Linked DNA regions of Coturnix japonica. The protein of the gene in region 1 purifies or fractionates together with the protein of each later gene. This does not show direct contact. Links are inferred from orthologs where the notes say so. Each region holds a gene or a part of one and is shown in the gene's direction. Other genes may lie near its edges.

Evidence for each region.
Region 2: the proteins of ZZZ3 (region 1) and TADA3 purify together in Homo sapiens (affinity purification with mass spectrometry; 4 studies listed by BioGRID and IntAct, counting the BioPlex papers as one, with this or other methods). This does not show direct contact. The link is inferred for Coturnix japonica from reciprocal best matches to the Homo sapiens genes ZZZ3 and TADA3.
Region 3: the proteins of ZZZ3 (region 1) and MBIP purify together in Homo sapiens (affinity purification with mass spectrometry; 4 studies listed by BioGRID and IntAct, counting the BioPlex papers as one, with this or other methods). This does not show direct contact. The link is inferred for Coturnix japonica from reciprocal best matches to the Homo sapiens genes ZZZ3 and MBIP.
Region 4: the proteins of ZZZ3 (region 1) and YEATS2 purify together in Homo sapiens (affinity purification with mass spectrometry; 3 studies listed by BioGRID, with this or other methods). This does not show direct contact. The link is inferred for Coturnix japonica from reciprocal best matches to the Homo sapiens genes ZZZ3 and YEATS2.
Region 5: the proteins of ZZZ3 (region 1) and KAT14 purify together in Homo sapiens (affinity purification with mass spectrometry; 4 studies listed by BioGRID and IntAct, with this or other methods). This does not show direct contact. The link is inferred for Coturnix japonica from reciprocal best matches to the Homo sapiens genes ZZZ3 and KAT14.
Region 6: the proteins of ZZZ3 (region 1) and SGF29 purify together in Homo sapiens (affinity purification with mass spectrometry; 7 studies listed by BioGRID and IntAct, counting the BioPlex papers as one, with this or other methods). This does not show direct contact. The link is inferred for Coturnix japonica from reciprocal best matches to the Homo sapiens genes ZZZ3 and SGF29.
Region 7: the proteins of ZZZ3 (region 1) and TADA2A purify together in Homo sapiens (affinity purification with mass spectrometry; 4 studies listed by BioGRID and IntAct, with this or other methods). This does not show direct contact. The link is inferred for Coturnix japonica from reciprocal best matches to the Homo sapiens genes ZZZ3 and TADA2A.

What each region holds. Positions count from the first base shown.
Region 1 is NC_029523.1:16,801,520-16,805,019, forward strand, and holds part of ZZZ3 (ZZ-type zinc finger-containing protein 3), read left to right. Parts: intron 1-1,614; coding exon 1,615-1,749; intron 1,750-1,867; coding exon of another isoform or gene 1,868-1,948; exon of another isoform or gene 1,949-2,286; intron 2,287-3,500.
Region 2 is NC_029527.1:9,002,121-9,006,117, reverse strand, and holds TADA3 (transcriptional adapter 3), read left to right. Parts: upstream 1-1,197; 5' UTR 1,198-1,307; coding exon 1,308-1,514; intron 1,515-1,622; coding exon 1,623-1,873; intron 1,874-2,000; coding exon 2,001-2,106; intron 2,107-2,294; coding exon 2,295-2,436; intron 2,437-2,556; coding exon 2,557-2,660; intron 2,661-2,743; coding exon 2,744-2,853; intron 2,854-2,937; coding exon 2,938-3,123; intron 3,124-3,190; coding exon 3,191-3,383; 3' UTR 3,384-3,802; downstream 3,803-3,997. Other genes in the region: ARPC4 (actin-related protein 2/3 complex subunit 4), read right to left, coding at 64-159, 233-344, 497-615, 743-745. UniProt on the Homo sapiens protein: Functions as a component of the PCAF complex. The PCAF complex is capable of efficiently acetylating histones in a nucleosomal context. The PCAF complex could be considered as the human version of the yeast SAGA complex.
Region 3 is NC_029520.1:33,099,786-33,103,285, reverse strand, and holds part of MBIP (MAP3K12-binding inhibitory protein 1), read left to right. Parts: intron 1-357; coding exon 358-477; intron 478-2,067; coding exon 2,068-2,289; intron 2,290-2,389; coding exon 2,390-2,486; intron 2,487-3,500. UniProt on the Homo sapiens protein: Inhibits the MAP3K12 activity to induce the activation of the JNK/SAPK pathway. Component of the ATAC complex, a complex with histone acetyltransferase activity on histones H3 and H4.
Region 4 is NC_029524.1:686,961-690,460, reverse strand, and holds part of YEATS2 (YEATS domain-containing protein 2), read left to right. Parts: intron 1-1,607; coding exon 1,608-1,715; intron 1,716-2,798; coding exon 2,799-2,972; intron 2,973-3,500. UniProt on the Homo sapiens protein: Chromatin reader component of the ATAC complex, a complex with histone acetyltransferase activity on histones H3 and H4. YEATS2 specifically recognizes and binds histone H3 crotonylated at 'Lys-27' (H3K27cr).
Region 5 is NC_029518.1:13,436,109-13,440,124, reverse strand, and holds the start of KAT14 (cysteine-rich protein 2-binding protein), read left to right. Parts: upstream 1-1,216; 5' UTR 1,217-1,477; coding exon 1,478-1,733; intron 1,734-2,276; coding exon 2,277-2,395; intron 2,396-3,847; coding exon 3,848-3,969; intron 3,970-4,016. Other genes in the region: protein PET117 homolog, mitochondrial, read left to right, coding at 770-865, 1,067-1,216. UniProt on the Homo sapiens protein: Component of the ATAC complex, a complex with histone acetyltransferase activity on histones H3 and H4. May function as a scaffold for the ATAC complex to promote ATAC complex stability. Has also weak histone acetyltransferase activity toward histone H4.
Region 6 is NC_029530.1:7,882,920-7,887,213, reverse strand, and holds the start of SGF29 (SAGA-associated factor 29), read left to right. Parts: upstream 1-1,494; 5' UTR 1,495-1,550; coding exon 1,551-1,625; intron 1,626-1,819; coding exon 1,820-1,895; intron 1,896-2,104; coding exon 2,105-2,177; intron 2,178-2,416; coding exon 2,417-2,481; intron 2,482-2,660; coding exon 2,661-2,790; intron 2,791-3,188; coding exon 3,189-3,335; intron 3,336-3,574; coding exon 3,575-3,610; intron 3,611-4,029; coding exon 4,030-4,192; intron 4,193-4,279; coding exon 4,280-4,294. Other genes in the region: melanotransferrin-like, read left to right, coding at 191-377, 1,036-1,076. UniProt on the Homo sapiens protein: Chromatin reader component of some histone acetyltransferase (HAT) SAGA-type complexes like the TFTC-HAT, ATAC or STAGA complexes.
Region 7 is NC_029534.1:7,297,266-7,301,352, forward strand, and holds the start of TADA2A (transcriptional adapter 2-alpha), read left to right. Parts: upstream 1-1,287; 5' UTR 1,288-1,380; intron 1,381-1,566; exon of another isoform or gene 1,567-1,590; intron 1,591-2,051; 5' UTR 2,052-2,250; coding exon 2,251-2,275; intron 2,276-2,979; coding exon 2,980-3,086; intron 3,087-4,006; coding exon 4,007-4,066; intron 4,067-4,087. UniProt on the Homo sapiens protein: Component of the ATAC complex, a complex with histone acetyltransferase activity on histones H3 and H4. Required for the function of some acidic activation domains, which activate transcription from a distant site. Binds double-stranded DNA.

The sequences.
Region 1 (3,500 bases):
TCTCAGGGAAAAATGCAGTGCATTGGCGTGGTCAAGAAGATATTTGGTCTAGCTAGAAAATTATAGGGAAAGTTTTCTCTGAGTTCTTCACAACAGAAGTACCAGGTGATGTTTTCTTGTAAAAACAAAAGATTTTGTCTGGACGTTACCAGCTGATTGACATAACCATTCCTCAAACACCCTTATAGTGTGAATTAATTATTCTCCAGTGAAGACCCTCTGTTATCAAAAGATAGAGTTTAACTTTCAGTTAAAATTACTTCATCGTGTGAATGGTCTAATTATTCTAGAATACAATGTACTAATCCAGAATCAAGTGTCCACACAAGGAGTTGTTGTATTTTATTCAATATGTGATTATATTATTCCAGGCATTATTTCTTAGTGAAACTTATATTTGCATAAAAGGTCGTTATTATTATTATTATTATTATTATTATTATTATTATTATTATTATTATTATTATTATTATTATTATTATTATTTTATGGGGAAAAAGTGGAGTTTATCACAACAAAATGTAATTGTGTCATTTAACCTTGTTGAGGTTTTTTTCAGGGCATTTGCAGTCTAGACTTTAAATATTTTAAGAATTACAATTAAATATTTGATATGACCCTTAGAAAAATACTTAACACTAAGAGCATGCCTTTTTCATTAAATAATGCAGAGATTTCAAGCTTCATAGATTTTTAAAAGGGAATTGAAATAATGTGTGTAGGCTACATTCAGAGAACTATTACTTGTAGTTCTTTGTTGTAACTGAACGAGCCTACTAGTTATAGCCCATACATATGGACTGTGCATCTTTGAAGATATCTGACATCTACCAAGTACAGCTGCTGCAATTAAATAGCCATCTTGAAGTAGACGTCTGAATTAGATTGAGAATTTCTGTCTTCTCATAGCAAACAGGTCTTCAATCTTTGCTAAGAAAATTGGATGAGAAAAATCAGAAATTGTTTTTTATTTAAAAAGAGAATTTTGTGTTATAAGTCTTTGTCAAAGTTTTATGGGATATAAATTGGTTTTGTAATTTAGGAAAATAAAAATCCATTTTCTCAAGCTGTTAAAAGGCAGCATGAGGTTAAGGAAATTAGGAGTGGTCACAAGATGAAATAACTTGAAAAATTCTGCTCTTATCATCATGGAATGATATTTCTCAACACTTTTTATTCTTACAGGTAAAGGTGAGAATCTAATACTGTTAAGATTGGCTTTATTGATTGAAAAGTACATATCACTAAAGCTTGGTACTGTCTTGATATATGGGTCTTTTAAAAATATAAATGTAGGATTTAACAATATAAATATAGATCTTACAGTTAGGCACTGCTGTCTTCTTTACCCTACAGCAAATCTGTTCACCAGAAGAAACTTGTTTGCATGGTAACATTTTGGTATAATGCAAATAATTATTAATTGCAGAAAATAAAATGTAAGTTAGTTGTTTGTACTTATTTGCTCTGTTTTTAAGTATAATTTCCCAGTTTCTCTCAGAATACATTGCCAGCTTTTTCTCAGAAGATAGTTATACTTAGTGCTTTGTGAAATATATCTCTCTAGTTACATTCCTAAAGTAAATAGTATTTCTCTTTTTTAACCATGAACAGGATGAAGAGAGTATTCCAATAACATATCGTGAGTTACCTGAATACAAAGAACTGTTAGAGTTTAAAAAATTGAAGAGACAGAAACTACAGCAGATGCATGCAGAGAGTGGATTTGTGCAGCATGTGGGATTCAAGGTAAGCTGATGCTCTGCACTCTGCCGAGTGAAGAAGTTTTCAAAGATAACGTGGTTGGAATTTCCTAAAAAGGCTTTGTTTAGTTCGCCAACTGTGGTTTTATGATTCTTGTTCACAGTGTCTGCTTTTCCTCATCTTTAATCAGAACAACCCAGGTAATTCACTCCTTCCAATTCCTCAGGTTTCACAGAATATGTAGAATGCTGTATGAAAATTAATAAGCATGCTAACTTTTCCTCATTTATAGAATGAAAATTCAACTCTACAGATAGGTTATATCACTACAGAATTCTATTTTGGCATTGCACTCTGTCTTGCCAGTGATTCCCTGAAAATAATTCTCCGATTTTTGGAGATCTTTTTCCTTCACCTCAGGCCAAGGAAAGGACAGTGTGAGTGTGACTGTTTTAATTGGTTTTCACTACAGAGAAAAGGTAGCAGCTTCTTATTCCTGTCAAGTAATGCTTGCAGAAGTTGAAACAGTTTTGTAAGATAATGTTTATGTGAAATTAAAAAAATAAACTCACTGTTAAAATACTGTGTTGTCCCAGTGTCAGCCATGTCATGCACCATATGAAAGAAAAGACATTCTCTAGATAAGCTTTTCTGGTTTGCAGGGTTTTTGTTGTGACTGTTTGCTATGTTGGAACAGCTTCTTCATCTTATTAAAAGCATTAGGCCAGCTACATTTATTTTCTGCTAACCATCTATATAAGAATGCAAAAATTTACAGTTTAAAGTTCAGTTCAAAACAACTGGAATATTGAGGTAGCCTCATTAGTTGACACCGACAGACTTAATGGTGTTGTTAGGTTGCCAAGGCTTCCTCCTCTCTCCGCTCTCTCCTTCAGTTACTGTTTTTGTTCCAAAAGATACATTAAAACTTTGGTCAGGTAGAGCAGCCTTCTAAGCAACAAACTAAGTCCTTTCTTCTGCATTATGTTTTATATGAAATAATACTGAAAAGTAAATTGGCATTATATACTGTCAAGCATTAAAAGTTTGAAAGTTTCTTTGCAACTCCAGTTTGATTTTATTATGCAGTATAGTCTATGAAATTACATCATTATATGCAGTTTTCCCTCAGGAGTGCTGCCTTGCTTAGTGTACAGGCTGGACAATAGTCACCTAGTAAACATCTCTTCAGAACACTTAGCTCTGCATGGCCTTCAACTTCATTTAGAACACATTATTTGATTTCTACTTTGAATATTGAATTATTGAATCACATGTGATTATTATGGCTTTTGTTGCTTTAATATCAAAATACTTTGCAAATAGTATTTTTTTTTAAATAAAATGAGAGGTATGGTATTATTTCTGATTCACGGATGGGCAAGATATTGGAGCACAGAAGGGCTAAGGGTTTCCATTTTTTTGGCTCTGAACTTGGGACAACTGAAACTGGATTTTTTATTTTTTATTATAATAGAGTATTATATTGAATTCTGTATTTTCTGAGAAAAGCCCTAACTATGCTTACAACTTCTTCCTTATTAGCCCTCACACTGTGAAAGATGTCTTTGTGAAGGTGTGGGATACAGCTGTGACAAAGTTTCTTAGTAAGGTGTTCAGAACCCTGAGTCGATGGTTTGTGCTCAGGGGCAAATTACTGTGCAAGTGAGTTTCACAGGTGGTGCCCAAAGCTCTCTCAGAGCTCTTCATGTCCTGAAGGAAGGAGAATAAGCTATATGGACACAAGCTTGTTTCCACATTTTTCTTTCCTTTTCTGTCCTGTCCCTGCAGCACTC
Region 2 (3,997 bases), on another chromosome or scaffold:
GGGAGTGCAGCACAGTGATGGTGCAGTCCAGATCTGCGCTGTGGGTCCCTGGGACTCCCTCACCTCTACGGGCTTCCTGCGTAGGATGAAGAAGTTCTCAGCCCTCATCATCATGAAGCGCATGAACTTATGGCACAGGATCTTCTCGATCTCATCGGCCTGCAGACACAAAAGGGAAACGAGGTTCCTCACACTCTCACAAGCTCCCAGCCCCCATCCAGCCCATCCCCACCTGTTTGACAGCGATGCTGACGCGCACGGAGTTGATGGAGCCCTCGATCAGCACCTTCTCCTTCTCGTTCCTGCTGATGATCACGGGCTGCAGCAGCAGCTCCTTGCTGCTCCTGGGGGAGCAAAGGAAGGTCAGCATGGAACCGCTCGGTGCCTGCAGGCACAGTGCGGGCAGTGTCCGTGTGTCCGTGTGTCTATCCCCATTGACACACAGTGCGGGCAGTGTCCGTGTCCATCCCCATTGACACACATTACAGCCCCGTACCTGACCTCCACCTCGGGCTTGTTGTGCCGTTCCACCACCTGCGACGAGAAGTTCTCGAGGCACAGCGCGGCCTGCAGCGTGGCGCGCACCGCGTTCAGGTACGGGCGGAGCGTGGCGGTCTGAGGGGCACGGCACAGTCACGGACCGGGACCGGGCCCACCCCAGCCCCGTCCCCCCCTATCCCCGTACCCACATCCACCCCCATCCCCCGCCCCGTTCTCCCGCCCCGTTCCCTCCCGCTCCCACCATGGTGTCGGCTCCGGTCCGGTCCGTGGAAGCGGAACCGGAAGTGGCCGGCTGTCTCTTCCTGGATGCTCGGGAGGGCCCAACCCGCAGCTGTGTGGGGGCGCTCTGTTCTCTCTCCGTTCCCGTTCCGTTCCCCGTTCCGTCCCGTCCCCCCACACCGTGTATATGTATATATGTGTATATATGTGTATCTGTGTGTATATCCGGCCGGTCACGGGGCGCGGCTGCAGCGCCTGGAGGCGGCGGCGAAACCCCGCGAGATTCGACCCCCCCCGCGATCCCGCCGCTCTTGGTACGCTCCGTACGGCGCTTCCATATTAGGAAAGGAAGAAGGAGAGACGAGCGAACCAATCGGCTGCGTGCACCGGGCGGGGCCGAGCCAATGGGGAGAGAGGGGCGGGGCGAAGCGGCGGGGGCCGGAAGTAGCCGAGCGGCCCAATGTAAACCCGGCCCCCCCCGGCCCTGCCCCCTGCCCGCCCCCCGCCGGGACCCGCCGAGCTCCGGGCGGCACCGAGAGACCGGACAACAGGCTTCTATCGCCGCCCGGTTCCGACCCGGTGCCGCCATGAGCGAGCTGAAGGACTGCCCGCTGCAGTTCCACGACTTCAAGTCTGTGGACCACGTGAAGGTGTGCCCGCGGTACACGGCCGTGCTGGCCCGGTCCGAGGACGATGGTATCGGGATCGAGGAGCTGGACACGCTGCAGCTCGAGCTGGAGACGCTGCTGTCCTCAGCCAGCCGCAGACTGCGGGTACTGGAGGCAGAGACACAGGTGTGGGATGTGGAACATGGAACGTGTAACGTGTAACGTGTCCGTGTTGTGACCCCCCACCCCATCACCGCCCCACACACGACCCTACACGTTATTCCTCTATTCCAGATCCTGACGGACTGGCAGGACAAAAAGGGCGACCGGCGCTTCCTGAAGCTGAGCAAGGAACACGACGTGGGCACCTCCGTCAAACACGGCAAGCCCAAGAAGCAGAAGCTGGAGGGTAAAGGGGGGCACGGGACGGGGCCTGGGCCCGGCAGGCCTAAGTCTAAAAACCTGCAGCCCAAGATCCAGGAGTACGAGTTCCAGGATGACCCCATCGATGTGCCGAGGATCCCTAAAAACGATGCTCCGAACAGGTGAATGGGGAGATGGGGGTGTTGGGGTTGGATGTTTCCTTCCTTGTAGTGCAGGAGATCACGAGCTGCTCTCAAAGTGTCCATCACAGCTCCCCATCACCATCATTCCTCTGCTCTGGCCTCGCAGGTTCTGGGCATCAGTGGAGCCGTACTGCGCCGATCTCACCAATGAGGAGGTCAGGGTCCTGGAGGAGCTGCTCAAACCGCCAGAGGACGAGGCTGAGCACTACAAGGTGACAAGCTGCAGAGCCCCCAGCCCATGCTCTCTCACCCCATACTCTGCCCTGCACTGTCCATCCCTGGGCAGGCTAAGAACTCACACCCCACTGTGAACATTGTGCGTGTCCTCTGGGGTGGTGCTGACCCACGGGCTCCTCAGCACAACCCCAGCCCTGTGCTGATGGCCCATCCTGTGCTGCAGATCCCACCGCTGGGGAAGCACTACTCACAGCGCTGGGCTCAGGAGGACCTGCTGGAGGAGCAGAAGGATGGAGCCCGGGCAGCGGCTGCGGCTGACAAAAAGAAGGGTGTTCTGGGACCACTGACCGAGCTGGACACCAAAGGTGCTGTCCCATCCCCTATCTGTGATGGACTGCACTGAAGCTGTGTGGTGAGACCAGGGGGCTGGCATCCAGCTCCCACAGAACCGGGGCTGCTCACAACTGTCTCCTGCATCCCCTCAGATGTCGACGCCTTGCTGAAGAAGTCAGAGGCCCAGCACGAGCAGCCTGAGGATGGATGTCCCTTTGGACCCCTGACACAGCGTCTCCTGCAGGCCCTGGTGGAGGTGAGGGAGCTCAGGTCTGTGCAGTGGCCCTGCGAGGTGCTGCCAGGGCGAGGTGAACCTTTCCCATGTGCTCTGCTTGCCAGGAAAACATCATCTCCCCTGTGGAAGACTCGCCCATCCCCGACATCGCTGGCAAGGACTCAGGAGCCGATGGCGCTGGCACTTCTCCACGCAGCCAGAACAAGCCCTTCAGGTGAGCTGCTGCAGTGCTGCCTGCTGCTTTCCCTGTGCAAATCGGGGCAGAACGCTTAGGAAGCATCCGCTTTACTCTTCACAGCGTGCCCCACACCAAGTCGCTGGAGGGGCGGATCAAGGAGGAGCTGGTGGCTCAGGGCCTGCTGGAGTCTGAGGACCGTCCCGCCGAGGACTCGGAGGATGAGGTCCTGGCTGAGCTGCGCAAGAGGCAGGCGGAGCTGAAGGCGCTCAGCGCCCACAACCGCGCCAAGAAGCACGAGCTGCTGCGGTGAGTGCGGGCAGGGCATGGGGCCGGCTGAGCACCAGCAGCATCCACTGATGTTCTGTGTCCCCAGGTTGGCCAAGGAGGAGCTGCACCGGCAGGAGCTGCGGCAGCGCGTCCGCATGGCCGACAACGAGGTGATGGACGCCTTCCGTAAGATCATGGCGGCCAGGCAGAAGAAGCGCACCCCCACCAAGAAGGAGAAGGACCAGGCGTGGAAGACGCTGAAGGAGCGTGAGAGCATCCTCAAGCTGCTGGATGGGTAGCGGGGGGACAGGACTGGGCTGCACAACGCTGCCATCATCCCTTTATTTCACGGACTGGAGGCGCTGTGAGCACAGGAGCTTCCCGGCTGTACCTGTGCTCTGCCTGGATCGCTGCGGGTCGGGACGGGGTGCACGGGGCTGGGTCCTGCTCCTGGCCCAACCCGCAGCCACCGAACCGCAGGGACTGGGCGAGAGCATCCCTGGAGCAGCCATAGCCGCCCTCTGGTTTCCGCTGCCGCGGTTATTCTGGGCAATGGAGCTGTGCCAGGACACGGCTGGGAGCCGGGCCGGGCCTCGTTAGCGCCGGGAACAGCCGGGGACAGCGGCGGGGAGCGGGACGGGGCTGTACCGTGTGTTGTGCGGTGAGGGCAATAAAGGAGCATTGGCACTGCCGGTGTGCCGTGCGGTGCTGGGGGCTGCGGGGTTGTGCTGGTGTCGGTACCGTCCCATGTCTCCATTCCCGCCCCTCGCTCTGTCCCCGTCATTCTCTGCCCCTCCGCGGCCCGCGGTCACGCGTGGGCACTGACCGCCCGCTGCCCCCATTGGCTGAGCGGGGGGCAGGTCCCGCCCCCCCGCCGTGACGTCATTGCTGCCCGGCGGCGCCGCGCCAGGAG
Region 3 (3,500 bases), on another chromosome or scaffold:
CTATTATCTGTTAAAGAAAATATTTGAGTGATTAACATAAGCTGTATGCTCAAGCACAGTGGTTAATTGAATAGAGAACTTACCAAAGTTTAAGGTCAAATTAATACAGTGAGTGTGTTTAGATAGTTAGGATTTTCTAATTTTTTAACATATTCTACTAATACTATCTTCGAAAGTGATGGCTACTTGAATTATAATTAATGTCAAATCTATTCTATATCCTCACATAAAGGTGGGGTCTGCATGAGATTGAGCATAATTGCTGTCCTGTAGGTGCCCTGTTTGCTTTTCTGATGTTAATACGGCATAATGTACTGGTTGTTTTTTTATTGTGGTGTTTGTTCTTCCCCGTGGAAGCTTAACCTTGGAGATGATGTCGTGAAAGTTGTAATCGACTGGAGCAAGCTTCAGAGCACATCAGCACTTCAGCCAACATTGCTCTTTAGTGCACTTCAGCAGCATATTTTATGTCTGCAGGTAAATATTACATTGGACACCTTCAACTTGACTAAAGTGGTCAACAACCGAATGTAGCCACATTACCTAAACTGAAAAATTTTAGTTGTTTTGATCTTACTGCTATGTTCAACAAAAAAGAGTCCACTAGTATTATACACTTGAAATCCTGGTATGCTTCATAGGTACCTGCACTTACAGATTTTTTGGGTTAATGGTGGGAATAGCCACTGTAGGTGAGCAGGCTGAATAAATGCAGCCTCATTGATTTCTAGACTTGCATTGTAAATGTGATACATTTCCATCTATGGTGGGTTATAATTAAGCAATAAGACACGGCAGGTGTGTGTCATGCTATGATAATGATTCCATGCGTTGGGTGAGTTTTGAGGCTCATGGAGTGCTTTCAGTGGTTCAAGAAGTGGCATTATCCCAGCACGACACATCCTGGAGTGTCTTACTGCAATTAAATATATTTTCAGCGTAGATTTTTTTGTTTTTTTTAAAGAGTAATTTCTTTGACATTAACGTCTCATCCTGCCAAGTAGCCAGTCACTATTACTGTCATTTCTTTTAGCTATGTGAAACTTTCCAACCCTGTCAAAAGTAGCTATAATTTTGTTGCATGGTGGTATCAGCTGGTATCTGAGAGTGTTTTGACTTTGATAGCTGGTACGTAAAAGGTGGGAATTTGAATATCCATTTTCCCTTCAGCGAGTCAACAAATTATTTCAAGAGTGCAGTTCTGAGACAGCGAAAAATAAATAAAGTTTCTGTACTTGCTTGTCTGCAGGCATAGGAAAATCCCTTTGTGTTTCCCAGATAAGCAATATCTTTCTTGGAATAAACACAAAGAGAAAACAAGCCAGATATAAACAAGGAAAAATTACTTGTGGTATAATTACTTGGATTTCTGGAGGGAAAACTGAAGTAAATTTAGTTAGGTTGAAACTGGTAAAAACAAAAATGAGGATTTGTGACTTTATATATACAGATGTATATACACCAAGGTTTTGTTTTTACGTCTTGTGGAAGAGTTACTGCAGTAGAATAATAAGCTTTTATTTTGCTGCTACAAATGTTAGTGTGCATTCTCTCATTTAATTTCATGACCTAAGTAGATAATCAGCCATGTCAAGAAAAGCATGTGTTCTGGATAATACCAATATATTTCATGTCTGTTTTCTCTCATTCACTTGGGCAACTGCAGTTTCAAGTGGAGAATGTAGAGCTCTGCTGATAAGGTAAAGGCTTTACAGTGTGAAAGCATTGGCTTTCGTGTTAAGAAGGAAGAACACTAAGCCTTACAGTTCTGAGTAGGCATTTGAATGACATGGTAGTTAAGTGGCACTGGTGCCAATGATAGAAGCTTTTGATTTAGCTACTAACACGTGAGTAACTGATTTAATTTTTCTCAGAAATTTCGGAGTTTTCCTGTACAAATTGTTAAAATATTTTTATTTTTTTTAAATTACCATCCACTGTAGGAAGCAAATGTTTCATTTCCTAAAAGTCGGTCTGTTTTAGAGTTTATAGTAGTTCTTAGCCTTTTCCATTTGCTTCCATCCCCCCCCCACCCCGCAACCCTAATGTACTGTTTTCTTTGTTCAGCCTCTTTTAGAAAAACTCCAGCCACTGATTAAAGAGGAAAGTGTAAGTCACGTTGAACCTGCAGGTAAAACAGAAGACCAAAGTTGTGAAACAAGTTTAAATGTTTATGATAGTAACTCTCAGACTGAAGAAAAGTATGCAAATTATGACTTGGGAGATCTGAAGGATGCGCATACTAATTTTGATCCAGAGGTGGTCCAAATAAAAGCTGGAAAAGCAGAAGTAAGTGTTTCCCTGTATTAGAAAAAAAGATCTTTTTTCTTTCTAAATTTTAAATATAACTAATGAAATAGATATATGCCATCATGTTTGTTACCTACAGATTGACAGGCGGATATCAGCCTTCATCAAGAGGAAACAAGCTGAGATCAATGAAAATAATGTCAGGGAATTTTGCAATGTTATTGATTGTAATCAAGGTAACTGGCTAGCCAGATTTTAATCTTCATTGCAATCTAAGTTTGTTTGTTTTTTAATTAAAAAAAAAAAAGTATTTTTAAGAGTAGCTTTAAAAAAAAAATGTTAAGAGGATGCACATGCTCTGCAGATGTTGCCAGTCAGACCAAGGTGGAAAACAGGAAAAAATAAAAAGGAAATGCTTAATGGATTCTATACGGAAAGCCTACAGCTCTTACTGTGACCAGATTATCTTTATAGCTGTTGTTCTCGATGTTTTAGCTAGATATTCCTCCCAATATTAACAGAATTGCAATTCATATATGTCTTGGGAATTGCATATTTAAATCGAGGTTAATTTAATGCTGGCTGAATTACAAAGAAATATATCTGTAATCAGTTTTAATTATGAGCTACTTAGAATAACTATTTTATTTCAACATAACTCACACTGTTGCTATTTTTAATATACCACCTGGCACAACTGACTGTATATGTAACCAGTCTTAAATCCATCTGGTAGACTGGATCCCATTAGTACAACTAGTGGCTGTGTTACCAGCAAAGACATTTTTATATACATAAGTAGGAAAGAGGCATAGATTTTCCTATGTAACTGTGAACCCCCATATGCACTGTCTTTGAAGTGCTTCATACTGTTAGAGATTAAAGCTTATTTTTCCATAAGTTTCACAGAGAATTTACATAGGAGACACTGTCTGGTAAAATATATGATATTGCTTCCTAAAACTTAATTAAGTTACTGAAGAAATGACAAGTCATTCTTTTGTATGTTCAGCCATAAGAAAATATTTGTAGAGCTTTGGTGTATTTATATTTAAATAGAAACATTAGAATAAACCGAGATGGGCTGTACTGACAGGCTTTATGTCTAAGCCAATTAAAGCAGCCACAGGCATCAGAGTAAATGCAGGAAGGTGAAAAAAGGATGCTGATCAGTAAACCAGAGCTGTCTAAAAATAGGAGGAAAGGACATAAAACAGCACAAGTGTGCAAGGAAGAAACTTCCGTGCAGG
Region 4 (3,500 bases), on another chromosome or scaffold:
AACCCTTTCTTGCGTAAGACATGGGAGAGGTATTTCTGACAGGCAAGTAGCACCAGTGGGGCCTTTCTGAGAGCAGCTGCTGCTGCTCATGGGAGCTGTTTCCTGTCTTCATGACTCAGGAGCCTTAATGTTGGTTGTGGAGGGGAAGGTTTTCCAGTGAGCTTGCAGGAAGCTTATTGTTTCACATTTGGAACTGAAGTGCTTCCCACATCTGTTAAGAAAAATGTGTTGAAGATGGATCTGTGAAGCGATTAGTTTGGAGCACTTTAAATGTCAGGTGCTGGCTGGCTGTTCTGCTTCCAAGAGCCTGTCTGTCAGATGGGTTTTGCTTAACTGTTATAAAGCAATTGTTTTGTACTGGTTTGAGGCTTTTCTTTTTTGTAAGGTTTTAAATGAGTCAGAATGGGCACATATCATTGTAACAGTTGAATTCTGTTGGATTCAGTTAAAATCTGACAGCATTAAAAAAAAACAACAACCAAAAAAGAAATCTGAGCGCTGTAAACAGCTGTATTTCTGTCCATATGTCTTCTGGTTAGTGGGAAGTTGTAATTTTGTGGTTTCTTTAAGAGGGGAGGGTGTCTGATAGTTCAGTGTGATGTTACAGATGGTGTTCCAATGACTTACACTTGCATTTCTTCAGTCACTTTAAAAGTGGTCCATATGTGTGCTGCTCTTAAAAGGGCTGGCCATGCCTCTAACCTTGTCTTCACACCTCCTCCTGTTTGCTGGCAGTGGTTTGCTCTTGCTCACCATGTAGCTACACAGTCCATCTGTTTGAAAGATCAGCTGTTTTCATCTGTATGCATTGGCACAAGGAAGGCAGGAGTACTGATTCAGCATCTTGAGGGCTGTGTTCCAACCCAGGGATGGACTAAATGGTCATGAAACCACAACCACAGACTTCACACTGATCTTAAAATAGTACAGTTCTTTTAATTAAACAGAATATAACCATTCCATAATTCCTCAAGTGCATTTGACTCTACAGCTGCAAATTCAAGAATGAAAGATGCACCATTTTGCAGATGTCCAGTTGGGTATTGAGTACCTCCAGTGCTGGAGAGTCCACAGCCTCTCTAGGCAACTTGTTCCAAAATTCAATCACTACTTATGTTTAAACAGAATGTGTTGTGTTCTAGTTTGTGCTCATTGATTCTTGTCCTTTCATTGCACATTATTGAACACTGTCTGACTCGGTCATGTTCTCACCCTCCCATCAGTTATTTGTGTCCATTGATTAGATGCCCACTCAGACTTGGCTTCTCAAGGCTAACATATGCCTGCCTCAGTATTGCAGCTCAGAAATGCTTTGTGTAAGAAGCTGGTGGACGACCTGTCTGTTTCTTTCATTTGTGTATGATGTGGTAGGAAACAGTTACTGCTGTTGGAGGCATAAATTGACAAAGAAATTTGCTTTGTATGTTGTACTAAGTATGCTACGTTCCTGTTACTTAAGTGTTGCTTGATTTTTGGAAATGGATTTATTTGTACAGGTAATTTGGAATTGCCCAGATTGTCTGTGCCACCCACTATTAGCAATCTCTTGTTTTATTGCTTTTGTTGGACGTTTCACCAATCTTTGTGCCACATCTTCCTATTTGCAGCAGGAGGATTCCCTGTTTGCCACCATGCCACCTCTTTGTCCTATTGGGAGTCATTCCAAGGTGCAAAGCCCCAAATCAGTCACTGGAGGACTTGGAGCTTTTACAAAGGTATTCCTCTTGGCGTTTGTGCCTGGACAAGGAGCCTGGTATTACCATTTCATGCTGACTTGTGCTGCAAACCATGTAACTTCCAGTGCATGTAGAGCTGACTGGAACCAGTGTGTTTCGCTGCCAGGAGCTCTCTAGCACGTCTCAAAAGATGAAGCTTAAATTCTTTTCCCATGGCACTGCTGTTCCTGTGATCTTTTCCTTTCATCATCTCTTTCATCCTTTCTTGTTCTCCTTTTGAGTCACTACTGTACTGAAGCTGATATTTTTAAAGGCTTTGTTTGGTGAGGTTACAATATAAGTAAACAGTAGTTTACTCTTACATTTTGTAATAGTTTCTTGCTAAATGCTGTGGTGATTTCTGGCTGTCAGATGTTGCCATTTGTGAGTACGTTTCCTTAAAAGTTACCATCCTGAATTGAAGGGTTCCAGTAATACTGGGTGATCAAACTGGAAGGTGAAAGAGTCCTACCAGTCATAGCAGTCTGGTGGGGAAAAAGACACCTGCCAAACCAGCAGCCTTTCTTAAGTTGCTGGTCTTAGTGCTTAGATTTATGGCTTGTCCCAGATAAATTCATAACCATGTTGAAATGTACACAAGAGAATAATATAATCTTTAACCAGTTACAGTATCTATACCTGGTTACAATATCTACGGCCATAATGTCAATTATGATTTTGCAAGGTAGAAAAAAAAGGACGTTTTGGGCTGGGAGGTTCTTTGGTATTTGAAACCTCATGGTGTTCTGTCTCCTTTCTGAGATGCGGGATACCATTAGTAGGACTAGTAGTTATAATACTACTGGTACTGTCTGTGTTTCTTCCTTTCTGTAAGCATCTTTCAAAATGGGAATGCTGGCTTAATTACTGACCCCCTCACACGCTTGCATGTTGGGAGTAGCCCTCGTAGTAGATTGGGAGGTGAGTTAGAGTTCACCTGGTGGTATATGAGAACCACATCCGAGTTAGCAGCTGTTGTGTGCCTGTTCTTGCAGGCAGGCTGTTCCGGAAATGATTCCCAGTGACTTAGTTATTGGCTTTTTGGTTTTTGTTTTATGTCAACTTTATTATGTTACTTAAAAGGTGATAATAAAACAGGAGCCAGGAGAGCTGCCCCAGCAACCCCAGGCGTCGGCAGCAGGGCTGACCACACAGACCTCTGTGCAGCAGTATGTCACGGTAAAAGGAAGCCACATGTTGGCCTTGTCACCGCAGAAGCCAGCTGTGAGCACGAGCGAGGGGACAGCACAGTCCAAGGTATGAGGCACTTGGTTGGCTGTCAGCCTTCTGTCTTGCCTTGTAACACCTCATGTTTCTCCTGTGGCCGTGGTGTTGGTTGTGCCTCAGGCACAGGCAGCAGTACCCTAGGTAGCTAGTTTCCCTGTGTACAGAGTTAGCTCATAGTGTGCTTACCTCTTGCCCTTGTGAACAGCACACGCAGACACTGTTGCATTTCATTGCTTACAGAAAACATTTCCCACTCCTCTCTAGCCCTTTGCAGCAGTGAGGAGGAGGCTTGTTTTGAACTGGATCCTGACAACCCAGAAAGTTGGCTGCTGTTACCAGCTTTTGCTGAAGCTCATCCACATTTCTCCATAAAAGGAAGTAAATTCTTTACTTGGACAGCAGGCTTGCAGCAAAAAAAAAAGCAGGACAAACAGGGAGAAGGGGTGAAGGCTGGTCCAGAGCTAGAATACAGTAGAAGTGGTGCTACACAAGTGGTTACAGAACTGCTATGGCAGGGGTGATGCAGCTTCTTGGGAGACATAGTAAATGTGCTGTGGT
Region 5 (4,016 bases), on another chromosome or scaffold:
CAAAACTATTATACTAAATTGAAATGCTATCATTTTCACTAATTTTACCTTTCACTTTAATCACGTTTGTTCAGCAGACAGATGAAGAAGATTACAACAAGGAAGGACTGGCTTTATGCATTCAGTTTTCCTGTTCTACACAGGGGATGTGCCCTGGCCACCTCCTCACAGCGAAGGTCCATCACCAAAGCTGACTATGGCGCAGCACCTCCACGCTCTACTTGGAAATAGATTAACCTGTTTTAGGGGAGTATCCAACCTGAACTTCCCCTGGTGCAACTTGAGGCCATTCCCTCTCATCCCATTGCTATTAGCTGCGATAAGAAGCCAACCCCCACCTCAGCACAGCCTCCATCCAGGCAGGTGTAGGCAGCAATAACATCACCCCTGAGTCTCCTCCAGAATGAACAATCCCAGTTCTCTCTGTAAGCCTTGTGCTTCAGACCCCTCACAGCTTTATTGCCCTTCTCTGGGCACACTCCAGGGCCTCAGTATCTTTCCTGTAGTGAGAGGCCCAGCACTGACCACAAAGCCTCACCAGAGCTGAGTACAGGGGCTCGAACACCGCCCTGCTCCCACTGCTATACCATTACACGGCTCCATTGCCGTTCTCGTCCTTCCTCTGCTCAGGGCTGCGGCTGCTCGACGCGCTCAGCGCTCTGCAGGGCGGGCCGCTCTTCCCCCTCACAGCCTGTCCCGCCTTTCCCCGCGTTGTGCCGTTGGTTGCGGCTCGGTCGGTTCCCGGCCGTGCGGTGTGTGGTGCCCGGCGATGTCCAGGAGCTCCCGGGCGGTGCTGGTTGTCACCGCGCTCCTCTCCGCCGCCACCATCGCGGCCGTGCACGTCCAGCAGCGGCGGGAGCGTGAGGTGAGTGAGGGCGGGCGGGCAGGCCCGGAGCCGTGTGGTGCCCTCTGGTCTGTTGGCTTATTATTAGCGCTGTCAGATGCAAGGTACAGCTTGGGAGTGAAGGGCTTAATGTAAACAGGTCTTCAGCTGGCCTCACAGAGGTGGTTTACTAGCTTTATTAATCAAACAGGCAGTGATGAACCCTGTCCCTTGTGCTTCCAGAGGCTGCACAGCGGTGTGCTCAGAGATCTGGAGAGACAGAGTCAGAAAAGGGAAAACATTCGCCTGCTGGAAGAGCAGATCGCTTTGACGAAGCGGCTTACGGAAGAAAGAGACAAGATGCTGGTGGAAAAGGGATCCCAGCAGCCCTAGGTGGGACCTGACTTGTTAGAGGTTTGATTCGAGGCACTTGGGACAATTGAATTCTAATTACTTTCAAGTATTTCAGTAAACAGACATCACCTGTGAAAGACTGTTTATTTCAGACACATTATATTCCTGTACCAGAAGCCATAGGGCACAGCAGAATATTTCTTCCATCACTAGTACTTGTGGAGACTTGACACAGCCAGTGTGGATGGACGTGTGAATGTAGGGAGGACAGGCTCCTTGTGCTGCTGTAGGCCATGAAGGATGGCTAATAACGTCCACATGAGCGGGCTGCTGAGCCGACACGATGATGAAGCCACGAGGACTTCGACGTCGGAGGGTCTGGAGGAGGGTGAGGTGGAAGGGGAAACCCTTCTGATTGTAGAGTCTGAGGACCAGGCCTCGGTGGATTTATCCCACGACCAGAGCGGAGACTCACTGAACAGCGATGAAGGTGATGTGTCCTGGATGGAGGAGATGTCCTACTACTGCGAGAAGTGCCAGAAGTGGATTCCAGCAAGTAAGAGGGCTGGCTTTGCTGTTTCTTGTTTTCTGATAATGTGAGTTTAGTTGAGCTTTTGCAGAAGCGTGTCCAACCTGTAGCATCTGGCACTGGGGGGTGCTTGGAGTAAGCTAGATAACTTGATTCCTTTGCTGTTGCTGCTTGACATAAGATGTATGGTGCTAGCTAAAAAACAGGCTTTACTTTTGAAATTCTGGACAGCTGGAATTTGGAATGGACACATTATTAGATCCAAAACCTAAGTGTTGCTAAGCACTGCTTTTTGTTGTTGTTTTGTTATCGATTTGCTGTTGTGTTTTTATTTCTGTGTTTAGAATCATGGAACTCTTCAGTTGACATCTGCTTTGCAGCTGCATCGGGGCTGCCCTTATTGCCATCCTAAAACTCGCCACAAGTTTAGTGTAGAAATGTTGCAAGGCATGGTGTGAGCATTGCTAATAATACAGTAGAGCCAGCACAGTACTGTTAAAATGATGCTACATTGCAGCTTTCCTTCACGTGAAAGGGCTGAAAGTTTGATCTTTTGTCTGTTGGTTTTAGGTCAACTGAGAGAACAGCTCAGCTACCTCAAAGGAGATAACTTTTTCAGATTTACTTGCTCTGATTGCTCAGAAGATGGGAAAGAACAATTTGAACGGCTGAGATTAACTTGGCAACAAGTAAGTACCTTGTTTGTGCCAGGAAAACGTGCCAGCACTTTATAGAATTGTTGTTTGTTATGTATTCATTACCTAGAAAAGGAGGATTGGATATAGATGACAAACATGAGTGAACTTCAGAAATTAATTAGTTGAGAATTGCCTGCAGATTAGAGCTTGAGTATTTGGCAAGTAAGTGGCAAGATAATCACACAAACCACATTCCTCTCCTTTTTCGCTCCTCATTCATGTTGCTCATGAATTGCATGGCTTCAGGCGAATGTGGAAAAGCAAAATGCAATGTAGCTTCTAGGCACGAACAGTTTTTTGTATATAGGAGTGAATGCAAAGCTAGCGAGGTGGCAGCACGCAAACAGAAAGCTTGCCAGTTCCCTGAATGCAAAGCTCTAACTTGGCTGCTTGCTTACTAACAGTAGTTGTTGCTGGATTCTGCAAGTCCAGTCACTTACACGCCTGCGCGATCAAAATATTCTGCATTATACGGCAGCCACTGCGTGGGTAGAGTGATGCGTGTGTTGCTCCCAGGAGGGTGCAGGTGCTGCTCCTTTGGGGTACGTTGAATTGAGGGAAGTGAGCAAACCTGTCTGAAGTATGGAATTGATTCTGCATAATTAACAGTTGGTCATCTGGGATTTACTCACAAAGAGATGTGGTTCTTTCCAAACCTTTCCAATAGTTGGTTGGACTGAATTAGGCTGTAAAGCATGTAGAAGTGCTGTAATGGATTTTTTCAATGAAGGTCAATTCTGAGAGCATCATTTGCAGGCCAGTAACGAGTGGTGTCCCCCAGGGGTCTGTCTTGGGGCTGGTGCTCTTCAACATCTTTATCAGGCAGGGTGCTTGGAACTTGGAGATCCTTGGGGTCCCTCGCAGCCCAAGCCATTCTGTGATTTGGAGACAAACGTAATTGCCGCATACCAAGAAATATTAGTAGATGACATGTGATTTCTACATAGTTTAACCTGCGTTCAGTTTGGTACGCAACGGTAACTATCTGGGAAGACTCTGATTGCTATGTTTCTGATGAATAAGGTGGTGGGATTGCTCATCACAATTCTTTTTGTCTTTGAAAAAGACTATTTAGACTTCCACGCTGCATTCAGGTCCCAGTTGCGATATGATCAGTTTTTCCCACTCTGCAGAAGTTTGTGTTTCTTCATAAACCTGCATAATTAGGCAGCTTTTATTCTCCTACGGTGGTCAAATCTTGGTGGGGGGAAAAGACAGAAGAATTTTCATTTAACGATAGAGAGATGAGGAAAGACAGCATGAAAGAGAAAGAGAGATGAGGAAAGACAGCATGAAAGAGAAAGATTGCAGAAATTGCTTAAGAGGTGTTGCAAAAATAAGATATTTATGAGGCTGCAAAGGTGTGTGTGTGCATGGCATCATAAGGCAGCTCACCAGGAGAAGCAGAAAAGGTGCACTGGTTTCCATTGCTTTCTGTTCCAGGTTGTCATGCTGGCAATGTACAATTTGTCTCTGGAAGGAACTGGCCGTCAGGGGTACTTCAGATGGAAAGAAGATATCTGTGCTTTTATTGAGAAACACTGGACTTTCTTATTAGGAAACAGGTAAAGATATGCTGTGTCCTGGTGAGATGAATGAATTAAAACTGGTG
Region 6 (4,294 bases), on another chromosome or scaffold:
ACTCTCCAAAGGCCATTGGTTGCCATTATACTTCTGAGAAATAACCCACTCCAAAGCCATATCTTGTTGTATAACTGGATGAAAGTAGATCTGTGTTTTGTTTTCTTGTTAGATCTTGTTATAAAACTGATGGTCACCAACATAACGTTGTTATTTGTAGTCCAAACTGTGGAACTTCTTTTCTGTTTAGGAATTTCTGGGGACCAAGCTGGATTCTGAATTCCAGCTCTTTCACTCACAAAAATATGGTGAAAGTGATCTGCTTTTCAAAGATGCTACTCAGTCCCTTGTTCCTGCAACTCACATGAGCTATCGGGAAATCCTTGGAGAACCTTTCTTTCAGCTGGCAGAGTCAGTGTTTAATTGTACACCTGCAGGTAAAGTCAAATTCTTCATTCTGAATTAGAGAAAAATGCAAAGCAGAGGGAAGTTTTGTGTGCACAGGCACGGCCCTCTGGTTTATGCCAACTTCAGAGGTAATTTCTACATAACCTTGTTAGTGGAGTGTAATATCTGGAGTGTTGAGAACTCTTGCAGCTCCTATCTGTAAGCACTGCAAATGGGGGTCTGTGGGGATGATACAACCAATGCAGGTCAGAGCAAATATAAAGTTATTGAAGTGGAATTGTCTTCCACTCAGAAACTTGTTCTTCCTATCCCAGAGGTCTGGGTATGTCAGGGTTAGGGGAAATAACTCTGTTTCTGATAGAAGACTGCACTAAAAACTACACCAGAGTTAAAGATCTCATTGTACTTAAATGAGAGTTTGTTCACTACTATATACTGAAAGCTATTTTGTATTTAGTTCTGACTAAAACTAAATGAAACTGCTTATCAGTCAGGGCTGAGCTTGTTAGGGGCCCTGGGGATCTGTGCTGAAGTAGCTGCAGCTTGCACAATGGATTAGGAAGTTTAATAGCTGTTAGAGGACTGAAAGTCAACAAGGGAATACCAGCACTGTTGTGTTGTAGTGAACAGCAGCAACTTTCAGGGCCGATCACATCTTTAAGGCCATGTTCTCCTATTGGTTTGCAGGCATCTTGGACTTCTGCAGACAGGACACCTGTGCTCATTGATCTGACAGCTGCTTTGCAAGGCAAGAGCCGCCACCAATGTGAGAACAAGGAAATCAGTCTAGTCCTGCCTGTCTGCAAGGAAACCGTCACCCCCGGCCATGTATGCTGATTATCTTTTATCATAACCTTTGTTTTCTGCAGCAAGTAGATGTTGTTTATGGTCATGTAATACTGCTCCCGTGTCGTGCCGTTCCCGTTTGCAGCAGGGGTCGATCTGTACCATCCCTTCATTGGGGTCGATCTGTACCATCCCTTCATTGGGGTCGATCTGACCCATCCCTTCATTGGGGCGCAGCGCTGCCGTGACCGGCTCCGTTCAGCGCCGAACTCGTTTCTTACGTCGGTGCTGCCTCCGTGTGGCCAAAGCGCGGAACTGCACCGGGACGCATGCGCAGTGCGATGTGCGGGCTGACGCACAGTGCTCTGTGTCGCCTGACGCATGCGCAGAGCGCCCCGCGGCCCGTCGGTGCGGCCATGGCGCTGGTGTCGGCCGACTCGCGGATCGCGGAGCTGCTGTCCGAGCTGCAGCGGCTGCTGGGGCACACGCAGGTGCGGGGCTGGACGCACAGAGCGAGCGGGGCGCTGCTCTGCCGCACCGACACCATCGGGCCGCTCTGGGGGCGGTGCGGGGCTGTAGGGTGCTGGTTCGGGGCGGCGCTTTGTCGCACGGGTCCGGATTTGGGCTGTGGGGCTGGAGGTGGGGTGGTGGTGCGGGCAGCCCCCGTCATCCCGCTGCATTGCAGGAGGAGCGGTCCCGCAGCGAGCACAACCTCATCAACATCCAGAAGACGCACGAGAGGATGCAGACCGAGAATAAGAGTGAGAGCGGGGCCGGGCCGAGGGGCGGCGTGAAGGGGGATGAGGGGGCAGGGCTGGGAGGAGAGCAGGGCAATGGGGAGGGGAAGGGGTTCAGAGAGGAGTGTTGGGCAGGGGCAGCTTTGGGGCCGGGCTCGGGAACGGGGCGGGGTTTGGGGACAGCGTGTTCGATGGGGACTTGGTTTCACAGCGTTCTTACCTCCCCCCTCCAGTCTCGCCGTATTACCGCACGAAGCTGCGCGGGCTGTACACCACCGCCAAGGCAGATGCTGAGGCCGAGTGCAAGTAGGGCGGCCCCTTCATACCCACATCCCCATACCCTACACCCTTACCAACCCTACACCCTTACCAACCCTACACCCTTACCAACCCTACACCCTTACCAACCTTACACCCTTACCAACCTTACACCCCACCAACCCTACAGCCCACCAACCCTACACCCCCACCAACCCTGCACCCCACCAACCCTACACCCTGCCCCGTGCCCCCCATACATGACAGCTGCCCTTATGGCTCTGCAGCATCCTGCGCAAGGCGCTGGACAAGATCGCTGAGATCAAGTCTCTGCTGGAAGAGCGCCGCATTGGTACGTGCCTCCATTGAGCCCCCAAGTGTCCCTGACCCCCACGTGTCCCTGACCTCTCTTTTTCTATTTTTACACCCCAAATCCCTGGAATTACGCCCAAATCTCCCTCTGTATGCCCCCCCCCACAACTGCCCTCCCAATCTTGGTGTCACTGTGTCCACCCCCCCACTGTGTCACAGCTGCCAAGATCGCAGGGATCTACAGTGACGCGGAGCCGCCGCGCAAGACGATGCGTCGTGGCGTGCTGATGACACTGCTGCAGCAGTCAGCCATGACGCTGCCGCTCTGGATCGGCAAGCCAGGTGACAAGTAGGTATTCCCGACCCCACAAGTGCACTCTTCCCCACAGGGTGCCCTAAACTCCCAGACCCACACTCCATCATACCCCACATTGTGCCCTGAGCTCCCAGTTCCACTGGAGTTCTGGTTCTGGACTCAGATTCCAAAGCACGGCCCTAACCCCATGCCTGACATTTGGATCCATAGCAAATCTCAGCCCCACCCTGGGAAACCCAACCCCATCCAGACCCCATCCTGACCGTGCCCTCACCCTTCCTCCCCTCTCCCCCCATCAAACCCCAGGCCCTGTTCCCTGACCCCTGTTGTGGATTGCCAACACCCCCCTGACTGCACTGCAGAACCCCAAACCCCAGCCCAGCCTCACCCTCTAACTCCCACCCACCAACCCACCCCCACCTCATTCTCAGGCCCCCCCCACTGTGCGGTGCCATGCCGGCAGCTGGGGACTACGTGGCCAAGCCTGGGGACAAAGTGGCGGCACGTGTCAAGGCCGTGGACGGCGATGAGCAGTGGATCCTGGCGGAGGTGGTCAGCTACAGCCATGCTGCCAACAAGTGCGTGGAGGGGGCAAGGGGGCGGCAGGTTGGGTGTGGAGGGGAGCAGGAATATGTGTGTGTTGGGGGGGGTTTGAGTGGGGCCGGGGGGGCAGTTTGGGCACTTTGGGGGTGTGGGGCATGGTGTGGAGCACTGCACTTGTTGCTTGTGGGGCCGTGGTGTGCTCTGGGATCGCAGCATTTCCCCTTGTTTTGCTGTAGTTCAGTCCTTTCTCCTTTCTCGCTTCTCCCCACCCCAGGTATGAAGTGGACGACATCGATGAGGAGGGCAAAGAGTGAGCACCCCCACTCCACAACTGCCCTCTCTAACCCCACAGCTGCCCCCGCTCTCAGGCAGCCCCCAGCCTCCTCTCCAAGCCCTCCCAATCCCTCCAACTCCCTCCTTATCACCCCCTAACTCTTCCTAACTCCCTCCAAACCTCCTCAAACCCCACAGAACACCCCAACTCCCCACAGCCCCCCTCCCCATGTCCCCCACGCTCCCAGTTCTCCACAGAACTCTTCTTGCTCTCACCAAATCTTCCCAGATCCCCTCGGCGCACCCCCCCAGACCCCTCTAGCTCCTCCCGAACTCCCTCCCCATACCCGCCACACCACAAAGCCCTTCTCAACCCCTGCCCCCAAACCTGCTCTCCACACCCCTCATCTCCCCCATCCCCAGCCCGTACCCATTGCTTGCTCCTCCCTTCTGCAGGAGACACACGCTCAGCCGGCGCCGTGTGATCCCTCTGCCACAGTGGAAGGCCAACCCTGAGACCGACCCCGAAGCGCTGTTCCAGCGCGAGCAGCTGGTGCTGGCACTTTACCCACAGACCACCTGCTTCTACCGTGCCCTCATCCATGCACCCCCGCAGCGGGTACGGCCACATTTTGCCCTGGAGATGGGCCCTGCCGTGCCCCCAGCTCTCACTCATTACTGATGCTGTTTTCTGCCCCGCACACAGCCGCAGGATGACTAC
Region 7 (4,087 bases), on another chromosome or scaffold:
TGCTGCAGGCTTTAGAGAAACACTGTTTTTACCTAAAAAATGCATCATCTTCTTCCTCACCACTTACTGGGAACAGCAGATTGAACATCAGCAGCTTAAACAACCACAGCTTCAACTGCTGCAGACTGAAACCAGACTTAACATCAGAAGCAACATTTACCTGGTTAGGAGCAATGGCATCAATTCACTGTGAAACGAGGTGCTGTGAAGACACCCACATGCTGATTCCTTCCATTAACTACCTGGATTCATGCTTTAATTCCCAGATACTTGACAGACCTGTTGGCATAAGCAATAAATATTTCATTGACATTCCAAAGTCTGCCTCCCTCAACTATTTATTTTTTACACGCTCATTTAGGGCCTGGGAAGAAGGAAAAATAAATCGCTTCCAATATTTCTGGTCTCCTTAAACAGCTCAGAGCATACATGTATTGAACTCATCCTACAACAGCAGACTTCCACCTCCCCCAGCCTCAAAGGAATAATATGGATATTCACTGTGAGCTTTAGGTCTGAGGTGGTTTCCATGTGCTCACACAGACTGAATCTCTACTTTATTCCCTGTTTAATATCTCAATGCCATCTTCACCTTCCAGATATGAACTGCCAAAGGCTGCATCTGTCTGTTAGAGAACAGCTCTCACCTTCAGCTCCCATGCAAGGGATTAAACACTTCAGAATCTGTAGGACTGAATGGGAACAACCTGTGAGCCTCAGAACACGTCCCTCTAGCACTGCATGTCATCTGAACCACCATCACAGCTGCCGAGCTGCACACAAAATGGGACATCAGCAGCAGGCCAGCAGCAGAATCATAGAATCATAGGATCACCAAGGTTGGAAAAGACCTAAAAGATCATCCAGTCCAACCGTTCACTTGTTACCAACAGCTCCCACTAAACCATGTCCCTCAACACAACATCCTTTAACACCCCCAGGGTCAATGACTCCACCACCTCCCTGTGCATCCATTCCAGTGCCTGACCACCCTTTCTGAGCAGTAATACCTCGTAGTGTCCAGCCTGAATCTCCCCTGTCGCAGCTTGAAGCCATTCCCTCTGGTCCTATCACTAATGGGGACGAGGTGACAGCCCTCAGGGGGGGACCAGCACACAGAGGGCAGCAGTCAGAGCCTCGGCCAGAAGAGCAGCTCTAAAGGACGCACAATTAAATTCATAACACGTCCTCAATCGCTGTGTGTGCGCTGCAGGCCCAGCACAACGCCGCTGCCCGGCACTGACACCGTCCCGCAGCATCGCCCCGGGCTCTGAGGGCGGAGCGGGCCGGGGCCGCGCACGTACAACGCCTCAGCGCACGCGCACGGCGGTGACGCGGCCTCGCGAAGGCCGTGACGCGCGGGAACTGCCCCGGCGTGAGGTGAGAGGCGGCGGGGCGCGGCCCGACAGCGGCCAGAGGGAAGTCGGGAGCGAAGCACGGCGGGGAGGAGCCGGATCCGGGGCGGGGGAGATGGAAACTGCGGCGGAGAGGAAAAGGGAGCGGGAGGACGGGCGGCAGCGCGATCCCGCCGCTCACCTCACGGCCTGGAGAGGGGGCGGGGACACGGGGCGGGAAGGGCGCCGCCTTCCGGTGAGGGGAGGACGGTGCTGCAGAGCGGGGCGGGGGCGCCGTGTGGGAGCGCAGGGAGCAGCGCCCGTCAGAATTAATAGCAAAGTGCCCAAATGTGCCTGACACAGACAGTCCGCCCCCGGGTTCCCGGTACCGCCATCACTTGTGTCACTGTCTGCTGGGGCCTTGGGGTGTGTCCCCATAGAATCACAGAATGACCTGGGTTGGAAGGGACCTCAAGGATCATGAAGTTCCAGCCCCCCTGCCTGGCAGGGCCACCACTTCACCCCTTCAGAATCACAGAATCATTCAGTCCCAAAAGACCTCCAAGATCCCCCACCCACCCACACTGACCGCGTCCCTCAGCCCCACATCCCCACATCTGGAACACCTGAAGGGATGGTGCCCCCCCCCCCCCCCCCCCCATAGTGCCGGCAGCTGANATTGCTCTAATAAAGAAATTATTCCTCATACCCAACCAGACCTTTCCAGCACAACGAGAAGCCATCACCTCTCACCCAGCAGGGGCAGCAGGGCCTGACCCCACCTCAGTCCCTGTGACAGGCTGCTCACTGTTCTCCACTCAAAGATGCTGTGAGGATTTCAGCCACCTCTCCAGCCCACAACACCACTTTGGACACAGTGATCTGCATTTGGGGCAGCCCGTGTTCCAGGGAGAGGATGGAGCGCCTGGCCTCCTTCGGCAGTGAGTACCACAGTGCTGCAGGGAGGTGTTCACCATGGTCTGAACTGGGGAGGGAGACAGCAACAGAAGCATCTGATCCATCAAATCCTCGGCTGCATGAGGACGGGAATGATTTGGAGGCCATTCAGATCTTGTTTGTCTGCTTTTCACTACTTAAATTGCATTTAAAAACAAATATGGCTTAAGACAGTATTTAGACTATTTTGCAGTGAACAACATAAGAACTTGCAGAGCAGTGTCGCACTCCTTGTTCAGCAGCCTGAGGTTTGGGCAGGTTACAGAACAATCGAGCCAATGCCTTTGCAACCACAGCAATATGCTTTTTGAGTCAGACAGGGAGGATGGATGGGAGAGTGCTGCTGTCTGTGCAATATTCTCCATAAAGCCTTGGGTCCCTGGGCACTGAGTCAAGTCAGACAGCTCACACAGCTGCCATCACTGCTGAGCAGCACCAGACAGCTGCTGCAGAGCTGTTCCTTGATTCCAGTGTGATCGAACAAGTTGCCCTCAATTGACCAGGTCCATAGCAAAGTTTAAATGCCAATATCTGTCTTAGAACTCCAGCTCAGGAATGAACTTTTATCAGTAGGGAAGAGGTTGCATACAGCTGAGTTTGTTTTGAATTGCTGGACACGAGTGAATTTGGGTGATTGCAAAAGCAGTGCCACATTTGTGTTGCATGAGATTTACATCTGGCTTTGCAGATGACCCCTTCGATAAACCTCCATGCAGAGGTTGCTCTTCGTACCTCATCGAGCCCTACGTGAAGTGTGCGGAGTGTGGGCCTCCTCCCTTCCTCCTGTGCTTGCAGGTGAGTGCAAGGATGAAAGCAAAGACATTCATTTCTCTGAGAAACTCATCAAAGGCTGTCCAGTGCCATGCCGCTCCATAAACACATTAATAACAGGTCTCCATAAACTCATATCAACACAGTTATTTGCTCAGGGAGAGGAAAATGACAAAGAAAATATGAGAGGCTGAAGAACTGAGACATGAGCAGCTGAGCAAGGTCTTTGTGAAGGCAGCCAGAGCTTGCCAAAGGCCTGACTGTAACACAGCATGCCACTGCACGTCTGCAGAAGTATTGTTTCTGTCACTTTGATGGCACAGAAAAGAAAATCCATCAAAAAACACCCTCTCCCTGTCCCTTTTCAGCTTTCTTTTCTTTTTTTAACCTCCCAAATGGAAAAGAAAATCAGCAGGAAGTTTGCAATATAGACAATAATTCTGACCAGATAATAGTTATTTACAAATTGTACGTGTGATCAGATCACCACAGAAAGGATTGTTTTAATTATTTATGACTAAAAAATGGCAACAACTTCTAATACCAAAAAGGGAGCTTTATCAAAACTCCAAAAGGAAACTGCACTTTCAATACTGCAGAATGCTCTGTGCTCCCTTCCAGGAATGACACATAACATAGCACCAAGTTTCTTATCCTGCCTATCTTGGCTATAAATACCTAACAAAAAGCATGGAGCTGCACACGAGTTGGGTCTTGGTGTACAAGACCAGAATACCACACAGCCTCAAAGTTATAACACAAATTGTTCTGCCATTACACGTTTTTTTCTGATTTCACATCAGAAAAAGCAGATGCTGTTTTCAGCATATCAGGCGGTCACTTTTGGATAAGCAGTAGTCAGAGAATGTAAGGGGGGAAAAATGCCAGTCACAATGTTTTCAGGGCAGAAGAGAGTAACATAATGCTCATCTTTCGTTCTGCAGTGTTTCACACGAGGATTTGAGTACAAGAAACACCAAAGTGATCACACTTACGAGATAATGGTAAATATTCCTTTTGGGTTA